Linked DNA regions of Ovis aries. The protein of the gene in region 7 interacts with the protein of the main gene of each other region in a pairwise test. Links are inferred from orthologs where the notes say so. Each region holds a gene or a part of one and is shown on either strand. Other genes may lie near its edges. The genes, in order: CEP44, LMO1, SYCE1, SCNM1, KIFC3, MMAB and CBY2.

The links.
Region 1: the proteins of CBY2 (region 7) and CEP44 interact in binary tests that used the Homo sapiens proteins (3 or more experiments, as listed by UniProt). The two-hybrid records come from large-scale screens. The link is inferred for Ovis aries from reciprocal best matches to the Homo sapiens genes CBY2 and CEP44.
Region 2: the proteins of CBY2 (region 7) and LMO1 interact in binary tests that used the Homo sapiens proteins (3 or more experiments, as listed by UniProt). The two-hybrid records come from large-scale screens. The link is inferred for Ovis aries from reciprocal best matches to the Homo sapiens genes CBY2 and LMO1.
Region 3: the proteins of CBY2 (region 7) and SYCE1 interact in binary tests that used the Homo sapiens proteins (3 or more experiments, as listed by UniProt). The two-hybrid records come from large-scale screens. The link is inferred for Ovis aries from reciprocal best matches to the Homo sapiens genes CBY2 and SYCE1.
Region 4: the proteins of CBY2 (region 7) and SCNM1 interact in binary tests that used the Homo sapiens proteins (3 or more experiments, as listed by UniProt). The two-hybrid records come from large-scale screens. The link is inferred for Ovis aries from reciprocal best matches to the Homo sapiens genes CBY2 and SCNM1.
Region 5: the proteins of CBY2 (region 7) and KIFC3 interact in binary tests that used the Homo sapiens proteins (3 or more experiments, as listed by UniProt). The two-hybrid records come from large-scale screens. The link is inferred for Ovis aries from reciprocal best matches to the Homo sapiens genes CBY2 and KIFC3.
Region 6: the proteins of CBY2 (region 7) and MMAB interact in binary tests that used the Homo sapiens proteins (3 or more experiments, as listed by UniProt). The two-hybrid records come from large-scale screens. The link is inferred for Ovis aries from reciprocal best matches to the Homo sapiens genes CBY2 and MMAB.

What each region holds. Positions count from the first base shown.
Region 1 is NC_056055.1:106,518,428-106,521,927, reverse strand, and holds part of CEP44 (centrosomal protein of 44 kDa), read left to right. Parts: intron 1-578; coding exon 579-726; intron 727-1,878; coding exon 1,879-2,025; intron 2,026-2,649; coding exon 2,650-2,772; intron 2,773-3,500. UniProt on the Homo sapiens protein: Centriole-enriched microtubule-binding protein involved in centriole biogenesis. In collaboration with CEP295 and POC1B, is required for the centriole-to-centrosome conversion by ensuring the formation of bona fide centriole wall.
Region 2 is NC_056068.1:43,996,652-44,000,625, reverse strand, and holds the start of LMO1 (rhombotin-1), read right to left. Parts: upstream 2,801-3,974; 5' UTR 2,691-2,800; coding exon 2,666-2,690; intron 1-2,665. UniProt on the Homo sapiens protein: May be involved in gene regulation within neural lineage cells potentially by direct DNA binding or by binding to other transcription factors.
Region 3 is NC_056075.1:51,476,078-51,480,012, reverse strand, and holds the start of SYCE1 (synaptonemal complex central element protein 1), read left to right. Parts: upstream 1-1,135; 5' UTR 1,136-1,175; coding exon 1,176-1,245; intron 1,246-3,935. UniProt on the Homo sapiens protein: Major component of the transverse central element of synaptonemal complexes (SCS), formed between homologous chromosomes during meiotic prophase. Requires SYCP1 in order to be incorporated into the central element.
Region 4 is NC_056054.1:101,063,636-101,067,909, forward strand, and holds SCNM1 (sodium channel modifier 1), read left to right. Parts: upstream 1-1,474; 5' UTR 1,475-1,594; coding exon 1,595-1,696; intron 1,697-1,870; exon of another isoform or gene 1,871-1,907; coding exon 1,908-1,978; intron 1,979-2,217; coding exon 2,218-2,306; intron 2,307-2,404; coding exon 2,405-2,502; intron 2,503-2,616; coding exon 2,617-2,705; intron 2,706-3,106; coding exon 3,107-3,301; intron 3,302-3,934; coding exon 3,935-4,034; 3' UTR 4,035-4,089; downstream 4,090-4,274. Other genes in the region: LYSMD1 (lysM and putative peptidoglycan-binding domain-containing protein 1), read right to left, coding at 514-693. UniProt on the Homo sapiens protein: As a component of the minor spliceosome, involved in the splicing of U12-type introns in pre-mRNAs. Plays a role in the regulation of primary cilia length and Hedgehog signaling.
Region 5 is NC_056067.1:25,344,597-25,348,827, forward strand, and holds the start of KIFC3 (kinesin-like protein KIFC3), read right to left. Parts: upstream 2,801-4,231; 5' UTR 2,518-2,800; coding exon of another isoform or gene 2,507-2,517; coding exon 2,335-2,506; intron 1-2,334. UniProt on the Homo sapiens protein: Minus-end microtubule-dependent motor protein. Involved in apically targeted transport. Required for zonula adherens maintenance.
Region 6 is NC_056070.1:63,770,031-63,774,302, reverse strand, and holds the start of MMAB (corrinoid adenosyltransferase MMAB), read right to left. Parts: upstream 2,801-4,272; 5' UTR 2,749-2,800; coding exon 2,633-2,748; intron 889-2,632; coding exon 827-888; intron 211-826; coding exon 117-210; intron 1-116. UniProt on the Homo sapiens protein: Converts cob(I)alamin to adenosylcobalamin (adenosylcob(III)alamin), a coenzyme for methylmalonyl-CoA mutase, therefore participates in the final step of the vitamin B12 conversion.
Region 7 is NC_056063.1:16,145,755-16,149,992, forward strand, and holds the start of CBY2 (protein chibby homolog 2), read left to right. Parts: upstream 1-1,438; coding exon 1,439-1,492; intron 1,493-4,238.

The DNA.
Region 1 (3,500 bases), on a different chromosome or scaffold from region 7:
AGATTGGATGGATTTATTCATACAGAATGAATGACACATAACTGAAGAGAAAGACATACTTGTCTAGGCTAGAAGAATTAGCATAATCTAACAAGGTAGATTCCAAATGCACCTGATGTCAGGGGAAGATCGTAAACTGGTCAGCCTTGTTAGCAGTGATACCTTTTCCAGTCCTGGTATCCTCATCTGTAACTTAGAATTCATAGTATTTTTCTCTTGGGGGTTTATGATAAAGAGTAAGTGAGGTGATATGAGAATATTTGCAAAACCATAAAGCCTAGTGGCGTACTCTAAGGAGGTACATTTGCTGTATTGGTAGGAGAAAATAGACTAGATCAAGTAAGGCCAGTCTTTGGAAAATCAATAAATACTGTGATAAACAGACTGTTGGTATTGATGCTGAAGAGTTTTTGTTTCATAGTAATTTGGCTGCACTGGTTTAGAGTAGGGGGTGGAATCTGAAGGGTCTCGTGCATCCCCTAATTATTATGGCTGTTGTGTTAAATTATGAGTTTTTAACAGCTTTTCATTGTGGAATTAAGCATATTAAAAATCTTTTTTCTCTTTTTTCCATACAGTTTGGTAAAGGGAGATACAGCAGCCTCTCTGCCCATCATCAGCTATTCCCTTACCTCATACTCACCCTATGTAGCAGAACTTCTGGTCGACTCCAATGTTGAGCTCCTAGCAAAGAATGACTTACGCTTCATAGATACTGTCTATAAGGTATTTTGAGTTTATGAAACAATAATTCTTTTAGAAGTCATTGAATGATTTTTTTAGATCAATATTTTTATAACTCCTTACATATATAGTTGATAGTATTTTCGTATGTATTTATCTTATGTAAATGAAGTCTCTGTTACAATCAAGATGCAATTTGTTTGCTTTTATGTTTCATACTCTAATAAATATGATGACTGGTAAACATTTATCATTGATTATCATTTGTCTATTTTATGTCTGTTTTTAGTAAAGTTTGGTATACTGGCAGAAGTTAGAGTGAATGTAGTTTTATTAAGTAAAATTTGTGGTTCATAGAATTGTGAGTTAATTTATTAATTTAGTTGTTTGTAAGAAGGAACTGCAACTTATATTAGAACAACTTGTGTTCCTTGAGATCTGAAACCGTGTCTTATTATCTACTTTGGCATCTACACTTGTACTACATGTATCCTGGACTTAATCTCTGTTTGATTTTTCAAAGCCCTACTTTGTATCATTAATTTTATTTATGTACTGTGATTTATGTAACCTTAAAAAAATAGTAAAAGCCAATTTATCAAATCAAATTGCTTTTTTTTTCTTTTTTAAGTAAAGAGTTTGATGAGAGGGTAGCTTTTATATGTAGTCTCTGTTTAATCTTCCCTTTCTTTGCTTCTTACCTCAGAAAGCATCCATGGCAGCCTAAAAGGACTTCTAGGAAATCTGAGGTTACACAGAAGAGATTTTGGAAATTACTCTTTTAATCTGTTTCTTTCATTTTACACATGAGAAATTGAAACTGAGTAGCCTACTGACTTGTCTAAAAATTGTCATAATTTCTATAAACAAAGAGAACTATGGTTTTCTGATACCTGGTATTAGCAAGCAAAGGAGTTTTTCTAGTTCCTATGAGAATATTTGAAGCTTTTGATGATTATCTTTTCCATCTTTCTGGATAGCTATCTGGTACATTCCTAGCTACCTGTTTTCTACCTGTTTCCTACTTGATCCGATCTCAGCGCCCCTACAAATCTCTTTAGTGCCCTTTCTATAGTGGCTTAATCCTCTCCCATCTCTTAAAAATGGTAGTACATCCCTGGTCACTTACCATTTTAGATTTTTGAAAGAAATTGCTCCCAACCATTATGCTGGTCTATTATTTCCTCTTTACAGCTTCTTCGTGATCAATTTAATTATAAACCAATCTTGACAAAAAAGCAGTTTATCCAGTGTGGATTTGCAGAATGGAAAATCCAAATTATATGTGATATTTTGAATTGCGTGATGAAAAAGCACAAGGAGTTGAGTAGTCTTGAGAAGGTAATTTTATTAATAGATTTTTAACTTATGTTAAGTGGCTATATTTTAATATATAAAATCAATACCTAGTCAGCAAATTAATGCACAGTACAATTACTGTGCTACTCACAGATTTGAGTGGCCTTACAATGCCAGATGTTTGCTTTAAATACAAGTCATTTGTTTTGACACATTTGTGACTTGAAGCTACTAGTCCTAAACTAATATAACAAACTAACATAATGCATTTTCATCACTTTGTAGTTTTCAAAAAACATGTGGTCTCAGACTTGCAGTATTTGGCAGTCAAATTTCATGAAAATTTAAATGATAGAGGAATTTAATATATATATGCTACCTTCCCACATAGTTTAGAAAGAAAGAAAGAAAGAAAGAAAGAAAGAAAGTGAAGTTGCTCAGTCATGTCCAACTCTTTGCAACCCCATGGACTGTAGCCTAACAGGCTCCTCCCTCCATGGGATTCTCCAGGCAAGAGTACTGAAGTGGGTTGCCGTTTCCTTCTCCAGGGGATCTTCCCGACCCAGGGATCAAACCCGGGTCTCCTGCATTCCAGGCAGACGCTTTAAAATCTGAGCCACCAGGGAAGCACATAGTTTATGAAATCTTAATACCTTTTTTTTTCAGACTCCATCACAACAAAGAAAAAAGACCAGTTCTGCCAAGTCAGAACCTTGTTCAAGTGCTGAGAAGACATCTACTGAACCTGTGGGCATTGATGTCACTGGCAGATATGTGACTTCAGGAAAGGTGGGACAGTACAAAGACAGTGTGTCGCGTTAAGAATTACCTGCCTGACTGATCCAACACACAAGGTTCACTTTTCTGCCTAACATCTAGAAAAACATTCTATTCAAACAGTAGAGTGTAAGGATTTTTCACAATACATATCGTGTATTTTCTGGGAACATTCCTAAAGTTAGAAGAAGAGGGTAGAAATGTACAGTTGAACATGTTTTCTCTTTATATTTCTAATCCCAAATTCTGCCTCTTGTGATGGTGAAAATTTACTCTTAATTATGTATCTAATCTTCCTAAAGGCCTTCGCTTTAGTTCTAGGTCTGGATTTATATACATTTATATTTTTGTACCAGGAATATAGGTTAGCCAATGGTTGATAGTCCTTAAATCTGTAATCTGGTTTGGGGATGGTGTTCTGAATATTTTCTATTCGTTGGCCGATACTTTCCCTGTCCTTGTCTGCTTCAAGAAGCTGTGGCTGAATGAGTTCAATGCATTTAGGGATAGTTTTTCTATCTCCAAGGGAAAATGAAACCATAATATTATTTTATAATGGTGAATATGCTTTCAGCTGTCTTCCGCATGGGGCAAACCCATCGAGACTGAAGGATAGACTATCAGACAAATAATCAATGTGTCATTAGATATAGGATTTGAGTATATTTGAGTAAGATTCAGGGAGTTATTTTTCCCCAATTCATAATATGAGTTATATTATGAGTAAAGTATAAATAAAT
Region 2 (3,974 bases), on a different chromosome or scaffold from region 7:
AGAAAGTCTCTTAAACCCGTTGCTACGGCAAAGCGATTGATATTTTATTATCTTTCAGAAGTGCAACATGAAAGCCCTGCAGCCCAGCAGAGCAAGAGCTTTGGTCCTCGGCAGCTGGCAGACCTGACTTCAACCAGAGGAGCCTGGGCTTCTTCCCACAAGATGCTGTCAGGTGGAGAAAAGGCGTTGGGGGTGGTTAATAGGAGCCTGAGTTCCCCGCTGCAGCCAGACAAAGGGTGCAGTCCACAGCCGGGAGGAACACACTCCTCGGGGCCCTGGGGACCACTGCTGCCACCCAGCCCAGACGGCCACCTGCTGGGAGAGCATTAAGTGTGAGGAAGGAATTAGGCAGCAGGTTTGGGGTGGGGGGGAGGTGAGGATGTGAATGGGTCTAGAGCCTTTCTCCCTCCATCTAGCTGAAGGTACCACCTTCAAGGTTTCCTGGAACCAGGAGATGCTAGACTCCAACAGGGAATGGAGGGTGGATTTATGAGCAAAAAGGCTGCTTTTGAAAGACATGCTCAGGACACGAATCAAATGACTCCTCAGGACTTAAGCCAGTCTTCTTCCTTGTGCTGTGAGGGGTCCCAGAGCTCAGTGATCTCAGCACTACTGGGCACCACATCGTTAAGACTGGGCAGGCTGGGGACCTTAGGGCAGAGCCAGCTCTTCTCTACAGGTCTGGGGAACACTAAGGGAAACACATATACCAGGGTGGGTAGGCAGGAGACTGGCTGATATGACCTCCAAAGAACCATTTCCATTTAGGGCTCATCTAGAAACCTTTAGTACACAGAGTCGAGGCATTCTGGGGTGCCTGCACAGGGTACAAGAGCTGGTGCTGGTGGCAGTGTTATCTTGTCAGCTGGAAGCCAGTCTTCCTGCTTGAGGCCACCTGTGTACAGGGCCTGGGTCTTCTGGATTTCTGGCTTGGGCCTAGGGAGTCAGTGCCAAACAATCTGGGCTGAAGACATACCCCAATTTTCACATGCTCCCCATGGTGGGAGCACCTCCAAACACCAAGGAAGGACCTGGCTGCCCTGGCTCCTCACTTTACCAAGAGGAAAAGTGAGGTCTTGAGATGGGCACGACTGGTCCAAGATAACACGGGGAGTCGATGAGAAAGGAACTAAAGCAAGGACTCCTTCTTCCTTGTCTGGCCTCACCCCAGACCTCTTCTCCTTTCCAATTTGTACACACCTGCACCAGCCCAGCCCTCTAATGGCCCACCTGGGGCTCCAGGGGAGGGGCCCACAAAGAAAGAACAACACACAGGAAGTGGGTGTCTCACCCTAGTCAAACCCTGGCAAATGGATTCTTTTGGCCTGAGCATTTAGCCCTCCTCCCTCTCTTTCTACACACATGCCCAGAAATGGGCTGACCAGCCACAGAGCTCCCCAACATGCCACCCCTGGGCCAGATATTTTAAATGGCTCTTCCTGCCTGAGGTCTCAGTGGGTGGAAGGGAGGCTAGGGGCATCGGCACACAGTGGCAGCAAAGCGAACATCCTGTGCGACCTTAAGTCACTTAACTTCAGATTTCCACCAAGTGACCAGGTCAGGAACACCACCGACCTGGAGGGCAGAGGGCACAGACCTCCATACTCACTGGGAGAGGTCAGCTGATGTCACTCAAAGAGGACTCCGGCTGACTCACAGGAAACCCCTCTTCTCAGGTCCTCACCAGCAGTACAACGCAGCTGGGGCCTGGGTGCTAACAATTACATTCATGTCTCCCGACAACACTAACCCACCAGGTAACCCTCACCTCCAGGGCAGGGCCAATCTCCCGACCCCGAGGGCTGCCCCTGGGTCACAGGACACCCACTGGTTTTACCCTCAAGGGGGCTGGGTTCTCCGACCTCTCCTGCACATACCAGGACAATTACTGCGGGACAGTCACAGTCAGGAAGGCTTTGGGTGTGTGAGACCCCCTGCTAGTGGCTTCTAGCCACCGCGGGCCCCGCTGTTCTGACCTCTCAGGCGCAGTGAAGCTCTTGATCAGGGTAGGTCCTGGTGGCTCCGGCACGCGTGCTACTGGCCAGGAGCGGGACACTTTCTTCCTCTGGGCCAAACTCCTGCCTCCGAGCTCAAGAGCCCGCAGGGAGACAGTGGGCAGCACAGGAGGCGTCCCTTTATCTCAACGAGCTTTCGGGCAGCTGTGTCCCCGAAGGTCCGGCCGGCTTTCCCCCTGGCCTGACGGGCACCGCGGTGGCCACCTTCTTTCTGCGCGCCAGCCGGCCGCAAGCTCTGGAGTCCGATTTCCCGAAGCCACTGATTTGCTCGGCGCTCTGCGACTCTCGGGTTACGCGTGCGGCGCGAGGGTGATGGCTGCGGTGAGAGGAGCAGCCGCAAAGACGAAACGCTCTACGCGAACCGCCTCCGCGCCGAGATCCGGGGGCAGCCAGAGCCTCCACGCGGCCCCGCAGAGCATCACACGGCCGGAGCACAGCTCGCCCGCCCGTGGTCCGGTTCGGCCTGGCCCGGCCCCGGGGGGGCGCAGCCCAGAGCTCCCTTGCCTCCCCACCCCAGTCCCAAGCCCCTTGGGGACCGCCAGCCCAGCACAGCCCGGCGTGTGCGCGCCCGTGTCCCGGCGTGTGTGTTCCCGCGCGCCGTGGCGGGGGCGCAGGGGCGCGGGGCATTGGGACCCCCGCCCGCCACCTACCGTCCTCCTTGTCCAGCACCATCATCTCGGGCGCTCCGTGTCCAGCCGCAGCTCGACTCGGCCGGGAGAAGGGCGCCGATTCCGGGCGCGCTTCGGCGGGGCGGCCGGTCCTCGGGCAGCGAGCGGACTCTAATTACCCGCTTGTCCGGCTCTTAACCTAGATTGCACTCAGCTAGAATTACATTCAGAAGTGAAGCACTTCGCAGATACAAAAGCAGTCTCACCTACTTTTGTGCCTCAGAATTGCAAGGAACTACGAACTGCAATTTGGAGAGGGAGAGGGAGAGGGAGCGAGAAGTGGGAAGAGAGGATCAGAGCCGTTTCTTTGATTCTCACCTTCTAAATGGCTCAATTTGCCCAGTATAATCTGTCTTAATGTAATTGCATTTGATAGCTCATAACCCTGGCTCTGGCAACGACACAGCTTTCAGCCTCATAAAGTGTTTTCCCCTCGGATTTAATCTGAATCTCAATCTAAAATTATATTCAAAGAGATGGGGGAATCTCGGCGGCCGTCTCCCGCTGCCTTTCTCCCTCAATGTATGAGGTTTGCACTCCTGCTACTGAATAAATGCACACATTTCCCGAGGCCCCCCTCCCTCGCGAGTTAATGGGGAGTGGAGACGCGCGGCTGCCCGGCTCCGCAGCGCCACCTGGAGGCCTCTAGGCCTCAACTCGGCGCGTGGCTCTGCTCAGGCCCCAGGGTCCTCATTCCCAATCACTATCTGGTGGACTACTCCTGTCTCTCAGTCCCCTCAGCCTTGATTTTGGACCCCTCCCAAGGGGCACTCTTTCTCTGACCACGTACCCTCCCTTCCTACCTCCTCTCTCTGGGGTTCCTGGTTGCTTCCTGGATTGTTTGGCAAAGTTAACCCTCTGCAGGGCACAGATTTTCTCACTGTTGAGTCTTCCATCACCACCCTTACTCCAGCAGGCCCTCAGAAGAGCATCTTGATTTCACAGAGAATGAGATCCTGTCTCAGCTTCTATCTAAGCAAGCACAGCATGGCCTTGAAGGTTATTATTTTCATTCCACAACTATTTATTGAGCACATATTATACACCAAGCTCTATTCTAAGGCACATGGGGATACAGCAGTGAAAACAGATTCCTACCATTACAGAATTGATGATTCTTGCTTAGTAACGCCGGAGGCAGGAAGAGATACAGTGTTCATCTCCTCTCCTTCTGAACCCTGCTTCTCTCTGAGCACCCTGGGGCTGGTGCCCAGGCTGCCTTCTCTCCAGGAAGGCCACTCTTCAATATCAAGGGCTTTTTTTTTCTCTTTTGACAGTACAGAGTTCCAGG
Region 3 (3,935 bases), on a different chromosome or scaffold from region 7:
GCTGGCATATTGAATGCAGCACTTTAACAGCATCGTCTTTTAGGATTAGAAATAGCTCAGCTGGAATTCCATCACCTCGACTCACTTTGTTGATAGCGATGCTTCCTAAGGCCCACTTGACTTCAGAATCCAGGATTTCTGGCTCTAGGTGAGTAATCACACCATCATGATTATCTGGGTCATAGAAATCTTTTTTGTATAGTTCTTCTGTGTATTCTTGTCACCTTCTTAATATCTTCTGCTTCTGTTAGGGCCATACCATTTCTGTCCTTTATCGAGCCCATCTTTGCATGAAATGTCCCCTTGGTATCTCTAATTTTCTTGAAGAGATCTCTAGTCTTTCCCATTCTGTTGTTTTCCTCTATTTCTTTGCATTGATCCCTGAGGAAGGCTTTCTTATCTCTCCTTGCTATTCTTTGGAACTCTGCATTCAGAGGGGTATATCTTTTCTATTCTCCTTTGCCTTTTGCTTCTCTTCTTTTCTCAGCTATTTGTAAAGCCTCTCAGACAACCACTTTTCCCTTTTGCATTTCTTTTTCTTGGAGATGGTCTTGATCACTGCCTCCTGTACAATGTCAGGAACCTCTGTCCACAGTTCTTCAGGCACTCTATCAGATCTAACCCCTTGAATCTATTTGTTACTTCCACTGCATAATCGTAAGGGATCCAATTGAGCTCATAGCTGAATGGTCTAGTGGTTTTCCCGACTTTCTTCAATTTAAGTCTGAATTTTGCAATAAGGGGGTGGGGAGGGCAATTTATGGCCTCCATCCAGAAAGCCAGAGTCCTTGGGTTAACTGCCAACCTCTCAACATGTGCAGAGACTCGGCTCCCCACCACCAGGTTCAGGTGCCCTCCTCGCAAGGTGGGCGACGCCACATGGGGCAGTCCCTCGTGAGACCTCTGTCATTAGCAGGTCGCCAGCTCCTCAACCAGCCAATCGCCAGCCTGGAAGATCCGTGCGCGCCCCCCACACCTGCTCTGCACGGAATCTGTTCTGGGTGGACTCAAGCGCGCGCACCGCCGCTTGCCCAACCGCCACCCCAGCTGCCGGCTGGAAGGAGGGTACGTACGGCGCAGAGGTGCACTGCGCAGGCGTGCTGAGGACGCCCCGCCCCTGGCGCGGCTTCCGTCCAATCCCAGAGGAGGCGCCGGCGCCGGCGAGCTGAGAGGACATGGCTGGGCGGCCGGGATCGTCGAGTGCGGAAGCGGCGGGAGCCGTGGGCCCGACTGACGAGGCCAGAGGTAGAGCTGGGCCTGGCGGCGGCCCCGACCACGGCTGTTGAGGGCTGGGCAGGCAGGGAGCGCACGCGGGCGCCTCTTCCTCAGAGTCGGGGCGGGCGTGAGGAAAAATGGCCATCAGCCCCATGGGAAGGATCTTGGCGGCTCTGCCGGGTGGACTCACAGAAGGCCCGTGCCCCACGTGCACTCACTTCCTTTGGCCCCATCTGCTGTGCTTGAGTAGGTTAAAGTAGGCAGAGGGCATCCTTTCAGTCTGATCCTGAGCGTCCCACAGGCATCTCCTGCAACAGAAAGGGACTTGTTCTCGGCCCGTGTCACCCGAGGGAAGGAGTCTGTCCCATTTCTCTCATCTCACAGCACCGAACCCCTGAATTTCCCTGTTGTTCCATGATGGTCCTCAACAGTAGATTCCCCCTCCCCCAAACCAGGATCCAGACCGCCCCGCAGAGCGTTACGTTTTTTTTCTTCCTGACTCTGACCTATTGAACAGTGGCTCCCACCTCACCGGGAAAGGAGAGGCATGGCAGCTCATTACAGTTATAAAGTTTTCTGAAATAACAGCCTAGCAGAGAGAAGAAAGATAAAAAATATTCCCAGGCTTGTCCACCCCCGAAGGACATGCTCCTGGGTGTTAACACAAAAGGGGAGAGAACTGTGCAAGGAACACGCATCCCTCAGCTTGCCTCTGCTCTGCGTGGCCTCCCTGTCTCCCCGTGTTGAGATGCTCTCATGAACCCGTCTTGGCCATGTCCGTCGCAGCTGCAGGCAGTAGTGCAGTTTTGGTACATGACAGGTGCTTTGTGGCTTTTCTTTAATAAATAAAATGAAGGTTTAAATACTGAAATAAACTTAGCACAGAAAGCTTGCTTGGAGCAGGGAGGAGTGGCATTCAGTAACAATCCTCAGCTAAGAACAAAAAGAAAAACAGAACAGATGTATATAGATCTCTTTTCTTAAGCACCTACTGTGTTCGCCACTGTGCTAAAGAAACCTCTTAGTATCTTTGTTTCAAGTTCATTAAGCTTGCATATTTAGATGCAGTTGACTTCACCAGTGTCTTATAACTGGTGAAACACCATTTCTTGCCTGTGGTGAGGACCAGTTTCTTGAATCTTAGATGTCCATCTGTGTCAGCAGAATGGGCAAGGGAGCTCTCTGGGGTCTCTTATAAGGTGCTAATCTCATTCATTAGGGCTCTAGCCTCATGACCTAATCACCTCCCATAGGCCCCACCCTCTGATACCATCTCATCAGACTTTAGGATGTCAACAAATGAAAAATGGAGGGACACAAACATTCATCCTACAGCAGTGAGAGAAAATGAGACATCAAGGTTCCATTCTCAGTCTACTGGGTTTTTTCTAAAAAGGGGGCAGTGGTGCTATCTAGCCCTAACGGTGGTGTAAAGATACAGACCATGTCATACTCTGACGAGAGGAAGAAAGGGTGAAGGCTTTGCAGTAGTCCTTCTGGCACAAATTTTAACATTTTAATTATCTTTTCCCCTTTTGGGTCACATTCCTATAGGATCACCCAAGACATACATAGATGCATGGATCGGATAGTGACTGGAGCTTAAATGGTGGTAGGAAAACTTGGGAAGGGAATAGCTAAATCCCATGCACACTGGGATATACCTGTGCAGTGGATTTCTAAAATGAAGAGGAAGTAGAATTAAAATACACTTAACCAAGTCAACGTTGAAAGTATTAGACATACAGATACAATATGATCTTCAAAACATTTTTATGAGAGTAAAGCAAGATAGAAAAATTGCAATACTGTGTAGTTTGCACAGAAAGATGTCTGGAGGCTGCTTTCCTAATTGATGACTCTGATGGAGGGATCTAGTTTCTGCTGCTGCTCAGTCGCTTCAGTCGTGTCCAATTCTGTGTGACCCCATAGACGGCAGCCCCCCAGGCTCCCCCATCCCCAGGATTCTCCAGGCCAGAACACTGGAGTGGGTTGCCATTTCCTTCTCCAGTGCATAAAAGTGAAAAGGGAAAGTGAAGCCACTCAGTCGTGTCCGACTCTTGGCAACCCTAAGGACTGCAGCCCACCAGGCTCCTCTGTCCATGAGCTTTTCCAGGGAAGAGTGCTGGAGTGGATTGCCATTGCCTTCTCCAATCTAGTTTCTAAGGGCAATGCAAAGGTGAAGGAACGTTTTTAACCTTAATATTTGTTTTTTTCTACTAGGACTATGTAACTGATACTTGTGGAACTTTTAATTTATAAAAGTGAAAGTAGGAGACATTTTTAAAGTACCACTTGATGATCACATGTTAATATCTCTCACTGCTAGTCTCTGTTTTAATTGTTGTACTGTTGTTACTACACAGGAGCATGTCCTTGTACTTCAGAACTTCACACTGGGGTATTTGAGGGCAATGACGAATTGTATCTGCAACTTATTCTTAAAGTTTATGATTATTAGCAAATGTAAAACTGGGGTGAATGGCATATAGAGCTGTGTGTTCTATTTCTGCAACTTTTAAGTAAATTTGAAATTTTTTAAAATAAGTAAAAAAGGGGGCTCATATAATAACATAGGCAGTGGTACCCTTGATTTTTTTTATTAACAATATATTAGTTGACTTGTTCAACAGATATATTCTGCTTTCCCACTCTGTGCCTTACCTTTTAATATGCAATAAAGAAAAAAATAAAGGTGCAGCTCACTGCCTAGTCTATTA
Region 4 (4,274 bases), on a different chromosome or scaffold from region 7:
TGCCATTACCTTCTCTGGAATGTTTAGTCATTCTCAATTAAAATATTTCTGTGTAGTTAACAGTACAGGCTTTGGAATCAGACAGACCTGTTTCAATTTTCACGTCAACACTTATTAGTTATTTGACCTTGGTCACACTGGTTAACCAATCTAAGTCTCAGTTTCTTCATCTGTAAAAAGGGCACAATAATTATATGCTTGATAGGGATGTGAGGATCAAATGAGCTAATGGATGTAAAGTCTTTAGTACAGTGACTGGCCTAAAAAATAAATGCTGCTCCCCTCCGTTGGGATAATGGGACAGGATTTGTTCCCACCAGACAGTGCAACACTGAGATGAGGAAACAAAAAGATAAAGGTGACCAAACCTTTATCACAGTCAATTTATCACAATTAGTTAATATAAACACAATTAAGAAAATTTCAGGGGAAGTTGCCTAGAGGGCCATACATTCTCATGAGGAATAAACCTCTTCTAATTGGGTGTCTACGTCCCAATCCTGGAAGACTCACCGTCACCCCGTATTTGAGTGCTAGTCCAGCCAGGGTGTCTCCGGGCGCCAACTGATGCTCCAGGCGTCTTTCCCTCACCGGGGAGCAGGCAGACTGCACCAGGCTTCCATAAGAACGAGCCCGGCTCCCTTGAAGCAGTCCTGACCCCCCGAGGGGGGCCTGTCTAGAGGGAGAAGCCATCTCCTCACCCTGCGGACACTGAGGTTACAACCCCGGGAGGCCCGGCCAAGTGACCGATAATGACGGGCTCGCGGTCCGAGAATGGGTATCTTAGAGGATTCCTCTCTTTCAGTCTTCTCTCTTAAGTCTCCCCGCCTCCCCCGGCGATACGCGACTTGTCAGCCGTAGCTTCTCCTCCCTGCAAGTCCCCTTCCCACAAATCTGTACTCCGACTATTCAGTCCCTACCTGAGTCTTTCCTTAGCACCCCTCCGACTTTCGACTCCCCACAACAACTCGCTACGTTGACCCCTGACCTTTGAACTCTAGCAGCCTCCTTAACACGCAGCTCAATTTGCCCCTACGTCTGGCAGCCCGACCTCCAGGCTCCCCAATACCCCGACTCCGCCCGGTCCCGGGGTTAGCCCTCTAGGGTCAGGAACAGATCAGGCCCACCCTATATGGGCTGTGGTTGCAGGCGAAGGGCGTGACAATAGCCAGAGTCTGTAGCACTCTTTCTCCGTCAGAGATCCTCAAAGGTATTCTCCAAACCAAATCAGTCACACCCTCAAATTCGGGCTCCTCATCTAGGTTCTTGTCATTCCAAACGCCTCGAATCTGCCAAGACGAAAGGGCCTGGATCCAGCCCGGCGGCAAGCTCTTTGAAAAAAGACTTCATTTCCCAAAAGGCCCCGCGCCGGTGAGGTCGCAGGGCACCATAAGAAATACAGTCCCCCTCGGCCGGCTAGAAGCTGGCTTCCGGGATCGCGCAGTGCATTCGTGGAAGCACACCCCCGGAAGTCAGGGGGCCAGCAGGAAAGAGACCGGAAGGAACGGAGACGACCCACTCCTGCTACGGTGGCCTGAAAGGCGTGGCGAAGGCGGCTGGATAGAGTTTTTGATTTCTGGGGCTCACAGTCTTGATGTCTTTCAAGAGGGAAGGAGACGATTGGAGTCAGCTCAATGTGCTCAAAGTATGCGGAGAGGAGTGCTTCCGAAGCAGCTTCACCTGCCCTCTGAAAGCTGTAAAGGAGCTGTTTTGTTGCTGTGGCAACAACTGGGGGGCGGAGTGGAGGGAACCAAAAGACTAGAGGTGGTGGTGACCCCTTTTTCACCGCAGATGTGTGTTCTCCCATGGTCTTTATTCCCTTTCAGTCCTCGTCTCTATCATTTCCCTTTTATCCTTCCCTCATATCCAGCTGATCCCGTGCGGACTTCTTCCCCTGTCTCCTGCAGAAACGAAGGGTCGGGGACCTGCTTGCCAGCTACATCCCAGAGGATGAGGCGCTGATGCTACGGGATGGACGGTGAGAGCGAGGAGTGGATCAAGTTTAAGGGTTTTGAAGTTAGAGACTCAAGAACTTTTGTTATTAAGGAGGAGAGCGGGAGTATCTAGGATTCTTTGGCTGGGAGTGAGTAACAGGGATGTGGGTGATGGAGACTGGGAGACTTGGGAGTTGGGCTTTGGAAATGAATGCTTGGACGGGGTGGGACCTATGACCAAGACTCCACTCCCCAGGGACCAATTATCTTTCTTACTCCCCAGCTTTGCTTGTGCCATCTGTCCCCACCGACCCGTCCTGGACACTCTGGCCATGCTGACTGCCCACCGTGCAGGCAAAAAACATCTGTCCAGTAAGTTTGGGAAAAGACAGACAATAGAGTAAACCCTTAAAATCTCTTCAGACCACCCTTGGTGCTCTGCTTTTAATCCTCTTCCCCTTTCTCCTCAGGCCTGCAGCTTTTCTATGGCAAGAAGCCAGCAGGAAAGGGCACAGAGCAGAATCCAAGACAGCATAATGAACTCAGGAGAGAAGAGACCACAGCAGAGGTAATCAGAGAGGGGAAGTTGTGTTCCAGGCAGGACTGTGCTGCACACCTTAGGCTAAAGGACTTTGGCTTATTTCTGGCTCTGAAGGCTCTGACTCTGCTGTCTCCATGCCAGGCTCCTCTCTTAACCCAGACTCGACTTATCACTCAGAGTGCTCTGCACAGAGCTCCTCACTATAACAGTTGCTGCCGCCGGAAGTACAGGTTAGTGGGATGGGAAAGCCAGAGGTAGGGAGGGACAAGAGATAGATAGCTCTAAAGTGATTATTTTCCTAATTGTAATCTGAGACATACTAAGTGTTCTGGGGGTGTTAACTTGTATTTCAGGAAAAAGATTTTTGTAACTAAAAAAGTGCTTTGTAATCCTATTTGATTAAAAATTAGTGTATTTTAAGGGTTCTACAAAATCATAAGATAAAAAAAAAACCTTAAAAGATTTAGACTTTCCTAAATTTACTGGATTCCAGAATTCTTTTTATGCAGAACACTTACTAATATCTTGAGGAACACAAAATTGGGAAGCACTCCTATAAGGAGTTGGGAGTCACAGGAGATTAGGCCCTTTCCTTTACTGCTTTTACAGACTTCGATTCTTCTCTGTCCAGACCGGAAGCCCCTCGTCCCTCTGTCTCTCGTCCCCCTTTGCCACCCGCAGAGGCTGAACCCCAAGGTGGGAAGATCAGTAGAGAACCTGAGCCTGAGGCTGGCTCACAGACCAAGGAGTCAGCCACTGTCTCATCCCCCGCACCTATGAGCCCCACAAGAAGACGGGCCCTGGATCATTACCTCACCCTTCGAAGGTGAGTATGCAGAATTTTTCCTCAGTTTTTCCCTTTTATCTCTGACCCTCCTTGTTTCAGAGCTTCTCAAGTGTTTTTACTTATCCCCCGGGGCTTCCCAGGTGGCACAGTGGTAAAGAAGACATCTGCCAATGCAGGAGATGCAGGTTCGATTTCTGGATCAGGAAGATCCCCTGGAGGAGGGCATGGCAACCCACTCCAGTATTCTTACCTGGAGAATCCTGGCGGGCTACATTCCATAGGGTCACAGAGTCAGTTCCTCTTGAAGCAACTTAGCACACGTGCATGCATGCACAAAGACTCCTTACATATGTAACTTTTTTTTCAAATAGTTCAGGAAATTAACTACAGTTAGATAGAAAGAACTATTGGGGCTTCCCAGGAGGCTCAGCAGTAAAGAATCCTATAGTGCACAAGAGGCAGGTTCGACCCGAGTTGGGAAGATTCCCAACTGGAGAAGGAAATGGCAACCCATTCCAGTATTCTTGCCTGGGAAATCCCATGGACAGAGGAGCCTGGCAGGCTACAGTCCATGGGGTCACAGAGTTGGACATGACAGAGCACTCGCACACATGCTTTTCTTAATTTAATAAACTTCCTTTCCTGACCAGTTCTATTTTCTGGTGTTTCCAGCTCTGGATGGATCCCAGATGGACGAGGTCGATGGGTAAAAGATGAAAATGTTGAGTTTGACTCTGATGAGGAGGAACCCCCTGATCTCCCCTTGGACTGACATCCTCGTTCCCCATTCATTTCACAAATAAACTACAGCCGGCGCTGGGAGCCCAGCTTCTCCTGAGTCTGGTTCCTTGTTTCAGGATTTCAGATCTGTTCATTCTCAGCCCAGCCAATTCTTCTCTGCAAGGTACACAGCTCCCCACACTTCTGACCCCTCCCCCACCTTCTCCCACAGTCATGCCAAGCGTCAGCTGCATGCAGCCTGGTGCCCTATTAATAAGTCTGTCAGAAGGAG
Region 5 (4,231 bases), on a different chromosome or scaffold from region 7:
CTGAAGCAACAGACAGGTGAAGAGTCCTCAGAGGTGACCGGGAGTGAGAAGGAGGGGATGGTCAATTACCAGGGAACCATGCCACGGAGAGATCCAATTGGAAGAAAGGTCAATGGAGCAGAACAGAGGGCAGACCTGGGAAAGTCTAAGGTGGGGTGGGGGTGGCCAGAGGAAGCTGCCACTTCCTTCTCTTTGGAGAAGTTGGCTAGGATGGGAAGGAGAGGATGTGGAATTTAGAACAGGAGAGATCTGCACATGCTGGGTCAATAGAGGAACAGGAACAACTGAAGCATTGAGAGGCAAGAGAAGGAAGACCCCAAGGATGGGTGGCCTGAGGTTGGCAGAGCTGAGCCCTGGAAGAATGCCAGGCTCTTGGCTAGAGAGTCCTGGCCTCTACCTTCCTTGATTAAGGAAGACACCTTGGAGGAGGAATCTCCTGGGTGCCCTCTCCCTGGCAGGGGTCAGGACTGCTGGCCAAAGGGCAGAGTGGACATTAATGCTGCCTGTGGGTAGCTCCGCTGAGGAAATGGAGATGGACGAGTGTGGAGTGGAGGGAACTGGGAGATGTAGCCAGACGTCCCCTTCTCCAGGCTACTCAGCAAAGAGCTGGGCACACAATCTGCCCTGAGGATCAGCTGCCCAGTGGGTAAAGAAGGAGGGAGTGAGACGGGCTCCACCTGCATGCTGAGCTGCTGGAAGGTGAGATGGCAAAGGGCACTGAAGGTCGATTCCATGGTTGAGGGAGACCTTCATGTGCTCTGTGCTTAGTTGTGTTGGACTCTGAGACCCTTTGGACTGTAGCCCGCCAGGCTCCTCTGTCCGTGGGAATTCTCCAGGCAAGAATACTGGAGTGGGTTACCATTTCCTTCTCCAGGGGATCATCCCTACCCAGGGCTCATCCCAACCCAGGGATCGAACCTGTGTCTCCTGCATTGCAGGCAGATTCTATATGCGCTGAGCCATCAGGGAAGCCCTGAGAAGACTTTTAAGGAGGTCAGCTAAGCCTGAGGGGCAGGGACAGAAGGACACATTATTTCCTGGCTTTCAGGAAGGGAAGTTGGGAGGCAGGAAGATATCAGGAAGAAAGAGGAAGGGTGTGTGCAAGATCCTGGAGAGGAAAAAGTAGCTGAATTAGCAGACTGTCAGATGTGAGAGTCAAAAGCATCAAGGACTTTCAAACAGCCCAAGACTGGAGACACAAAAACCTAGGTCTTAGGACGGGGTGATGGGGGCACAGCGTGGTTATGACCAAAAGCTAGTTCAGAGCCCGGCTGCACCACTTAGTAGATGTGCAACCCTGGGAGAATGACTTTGTCTCTAAGCCCCAGTATCTCCATCTTTGAAATGGGAGAACTCTACCTTAATAGGGTTGATGTAAAGTTTGGATGACACATATACACAACATTAAGAACAATACTGACATATACAAAGAACCCTGCCCCTCCCCCCCGCAAATTTAATGTTTCAGTGACCTATATCCAGCGGTGGGTGAACGCAGGGGCAGGCTGCAGGAGAGCCCCATCAGCCTCTCCAGGTTTAGGCCAGGGTGGCAGAGGTGCAGCCCTCTTCCCCCAGACCAGGGTTGCTGCAATGATTGGGGAATAGACTTGACAACTGCCCAGAGACCACTGCTTGGGGAAACATAGTCTTCGTCTCCCTGAGAGAGGGGGCAGAAGGTCTGGGAGGGTGGACAGGGGCTGGACCTCCCCTGAGCAGTCACACATCCTAGGTTTTGCAGGTCAACCCAGATTTCAAAGCCTCTGTCCCTTGGTGCCCAGAGGGAAAGCAGAACGCATTACCCCCACATCCCTTAAGTCCAGTCACTGCAAATACAGGGCCCCATTCTCAGACTGCATTCCTCACAAATGACTCTTTGGCCAAGGAGACGGCTACTTTTATCAAGGGCACAGGGAACAGCCTGGGCCAGCAGAGTTGCTGGCTCAGCCTCAGGAGGACAGAAAGCCAGAGAAGGCGAAAGGGCAGGTGTGGCCAGGACCCCCAACCTTGAGACAAATGTGTGTGTGTGTGGGGGGGGGGGGTGCTGATGACAAATGGTACTTGAGAATTTAAATACAGCTTCCTCTTTAAAATCTGCCAGGACCAGGCCCTTCACTGCGCCAGAGTTCCGCTCTAACTCACAACAGGGGGCTGACAGAGGTGGCTTCGGGCTGGCCCTCCCAGCTGGGAACCCCTCCCCACCAGGCTGCAGCTGTCAAAGGCTCAATTTCCCCACTGCCCAGGGGGACGCCGGCCCAGGCCCTCGTTCCTAACCTGCCGCTAGCCCACCCCATCCCGGCCCTGCGAAGGGGAAAGCCAACTGCCCAGAGGACCTACGCGGTGGGAGGGCTCGAAACTGCAGCGTTCGAGGGAGCCTTGCGGACCCGGGGACTTCGGCCCGGGGAGGGGGCGGCGCTGACCGGCACGCGGTTCCCTGGCAATCTCCGGCTTTCCCGGGCCATTGAAATCGGAAAGGGGGTCCCGAGGCTGCTCGCATTCCAGGGGACATGTCGCCCCCATGCTCTGATCGGCTCTGGCTGGACAGCGTGGGGGGCGGGGGTGGGGGCGGGATAGCGCAGGGCTGGGTCTCCCGGGCCCGGCCCTCCCCGCGCCCCACCTCGGGATTGGGCAGGGGGATCCCGGACGCGACACCCCGAACGACGGGCTGGGCGGAACCCGAGCGCCCAGCCCTCCCTCTTCCCGCCCGAGCCCCGGACTCACCGGCCTGGCGGAGGCAGGATCCCGGCGTCGCCGCAGCGCCAGGGGCTCGGCCCGGCCCGGCCCGCCGGCGGGAGGCAGCTCCACGCCACCGCCTCCTTGGCCCGCCCCGCTCCCGCCCCGCTCCGGCCCCTCCCGCACACTTTCCACAGGAAATGATTAACTCGGGCCGCGGCGCGTTCCCATGGCAACCGGCTCAGACCCTGGCGGGGGGCGGCGGCACGCGCGCGCGCTCCCGCGTGCACACACACAGAGACTCACACTCTCACGCGGGGCCGCCGGCTCTGCTCAGACCTTTCTTCTGGGTCTCCCGGCGCTCCGCACACGCCCGTGCACACGTGCGCGCTCACCCCAGACGCACACAAGCCGTCCTACGTGCTCACATACAATACACGCGGCTCTCACAGGTTTGCACACACGCTCTAGTGAGTCCACATGAACACATTCACAGTTCCCACACACATCCCGACGTTCGTTCCTACGTGTATGCTTTGCACTTAAACTGACATTCTCATCCACACCTCCTCAAACCCTAGTACAAAACTTTTGCACACACTAGTTACTACTACTAACACACAATTCTCACAAGTGCTCCCTTGCCACGCTTCACAGTTTCTCACAATCTGTAGTATACTTTTTTCTAAAACTTTCTAGCACACACACACTAGCTAGTATGTGTGCACACTTGCACATTCTCACACACTTCCAATGTGCACTCACATTCCTGTACGGAGTTCAGACTTTCCCCCTTGCTTTCCCACAAATGCTGTACATGCTTCTTCAGGTACTCTTGAACTCTTCCTCACATTTCACAGAGCAACATTCCTATGCTGCTAACCCCAGTACAGACTTTCATGGGCTTCCCAGGTGGCTCAGCTGGTGAAGAATCCACCTGCCAAGGCAAGAGACTTGGGTTCGATCCCAGGTCCAGGAAGAGCCCCTGGAGGAGGAGATGGCAACCCACTTCAGTATTCTTGCCTGGGAAACCCCGCGGACAGACGAGCCTGGCGGGTTACACTCCATGGGATTGCAAAAGAGTCAGACTTGACTTAGCAACTAAACAACACACGCTTTAGTGAGCACACGTGCCCATGCATGCACTGTCACACATCAGCACACGCGTTTTCACACGTGCATTCTCACTAGCTCTAGTAGGAGCACACAGGCCAGGTTGCCTCCCTAGCCAGGGCACCACCTGCTGCCCCCTGCTCCTGCCTGGCCCTGTTCCCCTCTCATACCCCACCAAGAGATAGATGTCTTGCAGAGCAGGGAAGCTGTTTGGGATTTTTAAAGGTAAAATATTCCTTTAATCTCCAGTGAAAACACATTCAGAATGCCAGCTTGGAGCAGACAGCAGCTCCTGGTGTAGGCCCAGACGGCCTTCCTCAGAGGATGTCCCAGAAGCAGCCTGGGGGAGGCAGGGAGCCTGCCAGCCAAGGAGAGCCAGCTGACCCAGAGGAGCCACTCTGTTCTTTGTCTCCCAAACAGAGGCGGCATTTTATTCCAGAGTCAGCAG
Region 6 (4,272 bases), on a different chromosome or scaffold from region 7:
TCCAGGTTCATCGAGAGCAAGCGGCCTCTAGGACTGGCTCTGGAGGGCCGCACCTCAGTCGCACCTGCTAATGACCCACTCATACCCAACCTCAAGGTCAATCCTGTCCTCCTTACCCGATGGCTGAACTTAATTCATCTGTAGTTCCCACGGCTTCAAACACCTGGTCATCTTTGGGTCTTCTTTCTCCAGTGAAGGTGCTAGAAAACCCTGTGAGAAATATTTTGCTCCCAAAATTAAAGAGGTTTTTTTTTAAGCTTGATATACTCTTCTTTCCCCCCAATATTTATTGATTTATTTGGCTGCACTGAGTCTTAGTTGCAGCATGTGGGATCTAGTTCCCTGATCAGGGATTGGACCCAGGCCCCCTGCATTGAGAGTGCAGAGTCTTAGCCACTGGACCACCAGGGAAGTCCCCTGTTCTGACAGATTTTAAATTATCAAAACAATATATGCTTGTTACAAAAGATAACAGGATAGGATAAAAGTATGTACGGGAAACAATGAAAGCCTGCCTGTTCATTCCTCTCTCTCACTATTCAATCTCTCTCTCAGGTAACAGTCCAAGGTGTAACCTTTCCCATTGCCTTTCTGAACACACATATAAACACACACACACACTTTCATCCAACGGATCCCAACTCTGGATTGTTCTGCAACTTGCTTTTGTCATTCAATTTATCTGGGGCATCTTTCATTTGCATCACACTTGGGTGATGCCTACTGAGATCTGTCACATACTCTAATGTCTGCAAAGAATATGGAAGAACTTTCAGAGGGAATCTGCCATCTCTTCCTTTTCATTTTTCGCCTGTCCCCACCCTACCTTTGTCTCCTGTTTTGGTGTAGATCTTGGGGACCTTGGGAGTCTTCGAGGAAGGCTGTGGCCTAAGGAGAAATACACATCAAGAGAGGCTGAGTGAGGATATATGGCATATCCAGTGAGACGCCTTCTTCAGTGGGTCAGTTTGCTACCTGTACCCTTAGTGTCAGAACTCACTCCTTCAGCTTGCATCTCTTGAAATTTCTCCCCTCTGTTCCTCTTAGTTTTAAGCCCTTTGTGGGCCAGTTCTGTGTCTTGTCACACCTGTACCTGCAGAGTAGCTGATGTACTACATTGCTCAATGAAGACACTCAATAAATATTTGCTGAAAGAATTTATTGATCACTTTCCTAGTCTCTGCACTGTGCTAAGTGAATTATTGGCACTATCTCCTGGTATTATCCTTGGAATATTCCCAAGCCCCAAAGGAAGGCACTATCTATGACGTTCATTTTATGTCTGAGGAATCTGTAGCTCACAGGATGAGACTCACCTTTCTAGGTCACCCAGGAAAGAAGCAGTAGGGCTGGATTCTGGCCCAAGACTTATTCGGCAACCCCAAAGCATCACTTCTGTTCTACCAAGCCAGGGACTTTCTTTTTTAAAAATATTTACTTTTATTTATTTGCATGCACTGGATCTTTAGTTGGGCACCTGGTTTCTTTCATCTTCACCGTAGCATGTGGAATCTTTAGTTGCAGCATGTGGGATCTAGGGATGGAACCCAGGGCCCCTGCATTGGAAGATTGGTCTCAGCTACTGGTAAAGAATCCTCCTGCAATGCTGGAGACCTGGGTTCAATTATGGGGTCGGGAAGATCCCTTGGAGAAGGGAAAGGCTACCCATTCCAGTAGTCTGGCCTGGAGAATTCCATGGACTGCATAGTCCATGGGGTCGCAAAGAGTCAGACAAAACTGAGTGACTTTCACTTTCACTGGAAAACCAGGGAAGTCCCAAGCCAAGGGCTCTTGAAAGGGAAAAAAAAACCCTTCACACTATGAAGCTTCAAGTATACTCTGAAATGGAGAATTGCCAAAATAGGGTTCAAAAAGAGGCATTTTCAAATAGCAACACCTTTAATACAGACTTCAACATTAAAATGTGACATTAAAAGGTTATTAGAGGTTGAATTACTGGATCTATAAAACATATTGCTGCTGCTGCTAAGTCGCTTCAGTCGTGTCCAATTCTGTGCGACCCCATAAGACGGCAGCCTACCAGGCTCCCCCGTCCCTGGGATTCTCCAGGCAAGAACACTGGAGTGGGTTGCCATTTCCTTCTCCAATGCATGAAAGTGAAAAGTGAAAGGGAAGTCACTCAGTAGTGTCCGACTCTTCCCGACCCCATGGACTGCACCCTTCCAGGCTCCTCCACCCATGGGATTTTCCAGGCAAGAGTACTGGAGTGAGTCAGGTTTGAGGTCCAGGATGGGGTGCTAGTTTCAAGGTATGTGATGAGAGCCATCTTTACAACGCGCTGGTGTCTCTCTGTGTCTTGACTGCTTTGCAGACAGGTTAAGATCCGAACTGAGGACCCCTACTGATTGTGAGGTCAAGCAAGATGACCCTCTTGGTTCACGTGGGCTATGCCCGGTCCTGACGGATGCTGGGTTTCGTTTGGACTTGTCTCGTGCTAAGAAATCTTGGTCTCTGGTTTCCCCGGAGCCCAAGTTGCCATGGTGACGTCAGGATTAAAGAGGAGGTCACCTGGCGATTGCTGCGGTGACCTCCCATCGGTGTGATGTAAACACGGCGACGACAACACAACTCAGGTCAGGTGTCTGAGTTAACTTCTCAGCCAGGTACTCACCTGTCCCCGTCTTCCACGCCCTGGGGGCCACGGCTCTGGAAACGGGGACACAATAGCTTGCGGGCTCCAAGGCACTCGCGCAAGCCAAGGCGACCTCCCAGGCCCCACACAGCCATGCCCCAGGCCGCTCGTCGAGGGCTGACCCCGCCAGCTTGCCGTCCAGGTTTCGAGGCGACTCCACCTACCGCCGGCCGCGCCACCGCTCAGCCTCATCTTCTATTGGTCCGTGGCTCTCTCCCCAGGGCGGGACACTCCCAGGGACTTGCTTCCCATTGGTCCAGGGAAGGATTTGGGCGGGGAAATCCGTGAGGACTTGGTGAACGGCAGCTATTGGCCAATGCTCAAGCCAATTGGTAAAGGGAACTCTCGGCTCGTACGCTCTGATTGGCTTGGCGGAAGGAAGAAGCCGCCTCACCTCGGGTACCCGCGAGCTCTGGTATGGAGTCTTGGAGCGGCCCAGCTTCGGGAGCAAGCACCTGAGGCGACAGGTGAGAGGTTGGGGTTGCGAGGCGAGGTGGCGCGAAGGCCGAGGCCGAGACCCAGAACGACCCCGGACTGGGCTCCCGGCCTCTCAGGCTGTTTCCTCAGCTCTGAAAATCCGTCCTCAGGAGCCGGCGACCTGGAAACTGACAGGATTTTGAATCGCGGACAAGCAGTAGGTCTCCTCACTTGGAGTCTGAGTTTCCCTCCCTGAGGAACTGGGGTCATGGTAGCACTTAGCTCATAGTTCGGTTCAGCTCTCACGCTACTGAAGTAAAGCCTTAAATAGATAGTTTTTTTCTTTTCTGTTTTTTAAGTCGCTCAGTCGTGTCCGACCCTTTGCGACCCCATGGACTGTAGCCTGCCAGGCTCCTCTATCCATGGGATTCTCCAGGGAAGAACACTGGAGTGGGTAGCCAGTCCCTTCTCTGGGGGATCTTCCTGACCCAGGGATCGAACCCGGGTCTCTTGCATTCAGGCGGATTCCTTACCGTCTGAGCCATCAGGGTAGCTTTGCATTATTCATAAAAATCTAAAATGTGCACACGCACACCCAGCAAGTCACTTTCTAGGACTCTGTCTTGCAGAGATCCTGACTTAAGTGTGCAAAAAAAAAAAGGGGGGTGGGGAGGTGTAACAGCTGTTTATCTGCAACTTGTTTCTAATTGTGAAACGTTAGAAACAGCCTGAAAATGCCCAGGAAAAAAATTTCTTTCCAGTCCATAATTTCATTTAAATTTCTACCTTTAATAGTAGTACTAATAAAAGCTGGAACCAAAAACAGAGTCAGTAATACCGAGCTATCAGTAACTGACTGTGGTGTGCCAGACACTGCTAAGTGTTTTGCTTGCGTTATTTAGTTTAACTTTCTCAGAAACCATTAAAGTAAATAGTTACTGTCCCTGTGTAACTTTTAAGGTTCGTGGCTATTTGATGGCTGTGTGGCTAGCTAAGATGACATCACTGGGGAGCAGTGGGTTCGAACCCAGATTTTTTGGAGAATTATTATTATTATTGCTTGGAGAATCCCAGGGACGGGGGAGCCTGGTGGCCTGCCGTCTATGGGGTCGCACAGAGTCGGACACGACTGAAGCGACTTAGCAGCAGCAGCAGGCTGACTGCTGCCCCGCACTGCTTTTGGGGCACACAGCAAGTGCTGA
Region 7 (4,238 bases):
GGTCCAGTGTCTGGGCTATTGTGTGTCACACCGACCCTGACCGGCCACGTGGACACAACCAGATGCCTGGCCAGCAGGCCCCTCATTCCCACCTGTGATGCTCAGAGAGAGACCATGAGCCTTGAAAAAGACCGTATTGTTTTGTGATGTCACCTCTGGAATGTTCTGAGTGTTTTGGTGACCAACTTCTGCACAGGACCTATACCTGGCACCTAACGTTGGTATGGCTTTTTCCTTGAGCTAGAAATAGTAATCTTAGGAAAGCTAGTAGCTAAAGACTTTCAGAAGGCTTTGTCATCAACTATATAGACCTGTCTTAATTTCTGTTCAGAGATTGATGAAGCATCTTATCAGATACCATCTTCACATTCTCGTAAGGTACATAATTAACAGGAGGGGAGAAGTGAATAGTAGGAAGTCCTGTTTTGCAGTTGAGCAGCTGAGGCTCAGACGATGGGCTGGAAAACAGAAATCTGCCTATTTTCTCTTTTCCACAGCACTCGAGGCCAAATTTTACAAGAAAAAGAGATACCAGATCTGAAAGCCTAGAAATTCCCATCAATGTGGTTCTACCTCAGGTAGGGATGAACACTGAAGGCTGTAACCTCTCAGTTTTGGCCAGAATAATCCCCCTCTTTCCAAGCTCTAGCAAGATACTGCAGGTCAGTGGTAGCCAGGGCCTCAGATTCTAGCTGAAGGTCAGCTGCCAGCCAGCTGTGTGCCAGGGGCAGTCCACTTAGTCACTTGGAGTCTTGGGTTTCCGGTCAGATGAGAGGGTGGGTTCATTGATCTGGTAAGACCATCCAGCCCGACCACTAGAAGTTTCTGTGACAATCTTTTCAAAATTAGAGCGTTTGGAGCTTCTTTACCACCAGGGGGCACTAGTGGTAAAGAAACCGCCTGCCAATGCAAAAGACGCAAGAGACCCGGGTTCGATCCCTGGGTGGGGAAGATCCCCTGGAGGAGGAAATGGCAACCCACTCCAGAATTCTTGCCTGGAGAATCCCACGGACAGAGGAGCCTAACGGGCTACAGTCCAGAGGGTTGCAGAGTCGGACACGACTGAAGCGACTTAGCACACACCCACATTGTGCACTACTCTGGACTTCTGGGTAGAGGATTAGAACTGAGACTTGGGATCAAGGGCACAGGCCCGAACCCATACACCTGGGACATGGACCGAGGGGTCTGGGCTCCTGTGGAGGGGTCAGGAGAATTAGGGCCTGCCGTGTACCAGGGACAGAGCGTAAGGGGGATGAGCCTGGGGGGGTCAGAATGGAGGCCAGCGCACGGGCGACAGGCTGGACATTCTCAGTTCTCCTTCTGCTAAGCAGCCGTTTCCCGGGAGGGGTCCTCCTGATTGGATTGTTTCTGCTGCTATGTCACAAAGGGGGCAGCCTTGCTTCTCCAGAGTCACCTAAGGCCCTGGGGGAAGATCATGGCGGTGCAACCAGAGGGGCTGAAATGTAGGGTGGAGGAATCCAACGCAGAGGTAACGATCTGAAAGCTCTGTCCAGGGATGTGTGGGGAGAGGGTTGACTCCCCAGTGGGGTCTTGGAGGCATGAAATTAGAGTTCAACCTGCTGCCTGTGCCACACACGGGCAGATGAGCGTCCAGGGTACTCTGGAGGCGCACAAGTCCTGAGTCAGGCTCCAGACCCCTGCCAGGATGGGCTGGGCACACTCTGGGGGAAGCGTGCTCAGTCGCACCCGACTCTTTGCCACCCCGTGGACTGTGGCCCCGCCAGGCTCCTCTGTCCATGGGATTCTCCAGGCAAGAGTACTGGAGTGGGTTGCCATTTCCTTCTCTCTGGGGATAAAGGGGCACCTCTGCGTTTAGATGATCTGAGCGGGCTGTGAGAGGGACCAGTGTGCCGACTGGACCTCCCCAAAGGAGAGGCTGACGGCTGGTGGCAGGGGAAGGGTTGATCTGGGTCACACGGGGAAGAAAGGAGAGTGACTGCGCACTGGATTGGTCACATCGGGGCCCTGGGCCATGCAGAGCGAGGGAGAGATTGCAAAGGACCGGGAACTGGGAACCTCAGCAAGTCCACTAGTAATGGCGGAGCTGGAGTTAGAGGCTTGAAGCCAGGTCAGTGCCCACGTCCTCTGCCACAAGCTGGGCACATGCCGCCTGCTTCTTCCCTGGCTTTTAGGACAGGGTGCCTCCCCACCCCCCATCTTAACTGCCAAGCCCCTGCACGAATCTGCCACATTCTGCTCCGTTCTGGTTCTGAGACTGAGTCCATTTGTTTTGAGAAGAAATTGCAGGAGCAGCTCTGTGTCTCCAGAAAGTGCCTCTGCACCCCCCCAGCTCCCAACCCTGCCTGAACGCTTCTCATTTGCATTGCGAATGTCTGTGATTCTCTATTTGTTATCACCCTTAGGTCTTTTCGGGTCTTATTGATTTCCAGTTTTCCTTCCTCACAGTAAATATTTGTGTTTTCTAATCTGTTTCTCTCCAGGGCATTAACTTGCCAGCCTTCCCTAGTTACTTCCTTCCCAAGTTCTCTGCACGCCGCCCCTCCACCTCCCTTGCCCCCCCCCCCCCCCTTGCCCCCCCCACCTCCCTTGCCCCCGCCCCCCCCCCATTCCTTTTCTACCTACCGGTTCTCCCCAGCACTCCCATTTTCCCAGTGAGCACTCTCTGTGAATCTCATAAAGGCACTGTTTCCTGCGAGATTGTTAATGAAGGCTCCTCACCAGGTCAGAATAGGGTCCCATCACCCCTCCAGGGCCCCGCCTTGTCCCTCTCTGTTGCCTTTTTTCAATCCCCTTTGTTTGGGTTTGTTCTTTGGAAGCTATGGAATCTGTGGCCGACAATGCCTGTAGCTCTGCCAGTTTGAAAAAGTGTTAGGAGGATTTCGGAAGATTCTGTGTTAAACAATTAGCTAAAACTACCACATACGATGAGAGAGGACATCTTTAGCCTCTTTGCTGTTAGTATTAGGATTCTATCCAAATCAATTACATTGACCTGCAAATTATCCTCTTATCTGTTAGCGTTTATTAAAACCAACATTGACTTTCTCATGGCACTTGGGAGCGGAGTTGATTTAAGCATATGCTCGTGATACTCAGCCTTGTCACCTGGTCTGAAAATTAGTGGCAGATCTGGAGAATCCTAGGGACAGAGGAGCCTGGTGGGCTGCCATCTATGGGGTTGCACAGAGTTGGACACGACTGAAGTGACTTAGCAGCAGTAGCAGCAGCAGCAGCTGCCTTTCCTTCCAGCATATTCTGGGTCTCAGCTTCCCCAGGCTTGAAACGTAACCCCAGAGGGCTGAATATTCTCTGACCATAACCCTCAGTAATGCTGGCAAAAGCAGGGCTTTAAAAACACTTGGTCAACAGACTTGGAGTCTGCTGAGGGCATTTGGACGTCTCTTCTGGTCTGTGGAAGTGCAGAGAATCTCAGTGCCTGGCAACTAAACTGGCAAGTCACTGTCCAGTTCTGTTCCCCAACGCTTCAGATGGGAGGCCAGCAACCTCAAAAGCTCCATCCCCGAAGGTCCTATTCCTTAGATACCCCTTAGCTTCAGAAAGATGCTTTGGTCTTATTACCTCCCCTCTGCCCTTAGCCCTACCCCCGTTTCTAGCCACCATCCCTCCTGTGTGGGCTCCATTTGCCACACAAAAGGCTGGTGATCTGACCGAAGCATGCAGTTGGTTATCTCATACACTTTCCTTCCAGTACCACGTGTATTTTAAAAACGGATGCTGGGGAGAAGGATGAAGAGTGAAGAGTGAAAGTGTTAGTCGCTCAGTCACGTTTGCTACTCGGCAGCCCCACGGACTGTAGCCCGCCAGGCTCCTCTGTCCATGGGATTGTCCGGGCAAGACTACTGGAGTGGGCTGCCATTCCCTTCTCCAGGGGATCTTCCGGACCCAGGGATGGAACCAGGGTCTCCTGCATTGCAGGCAGACTGAGCCACCAGGGAGGCCCAGGGCTGATGCTGAGGATGGAGCTCAGCCACAGGTGGGATTCAGGCATCTGAGCGGGAGCTCTCGGGACCCAGGGCCCTTCCTGCGTCCTTAGCACTGATGCAGCTTCTTTAGGTCACAGCCGGGAGCACTTTGCTCCCGAGAGCAGCATCTCTGGGTCACCTTCCTAACAAAGCCACGGCCACACGTCTCCCCTCCTGCTTCCTTCCTGTATCCCGTTCTTCCATGAAGAAGCCCCCCGCTTCTCCTCTCCCACCTATGAGGGCATGTCCTACATGTCAAGGAAGAAACTG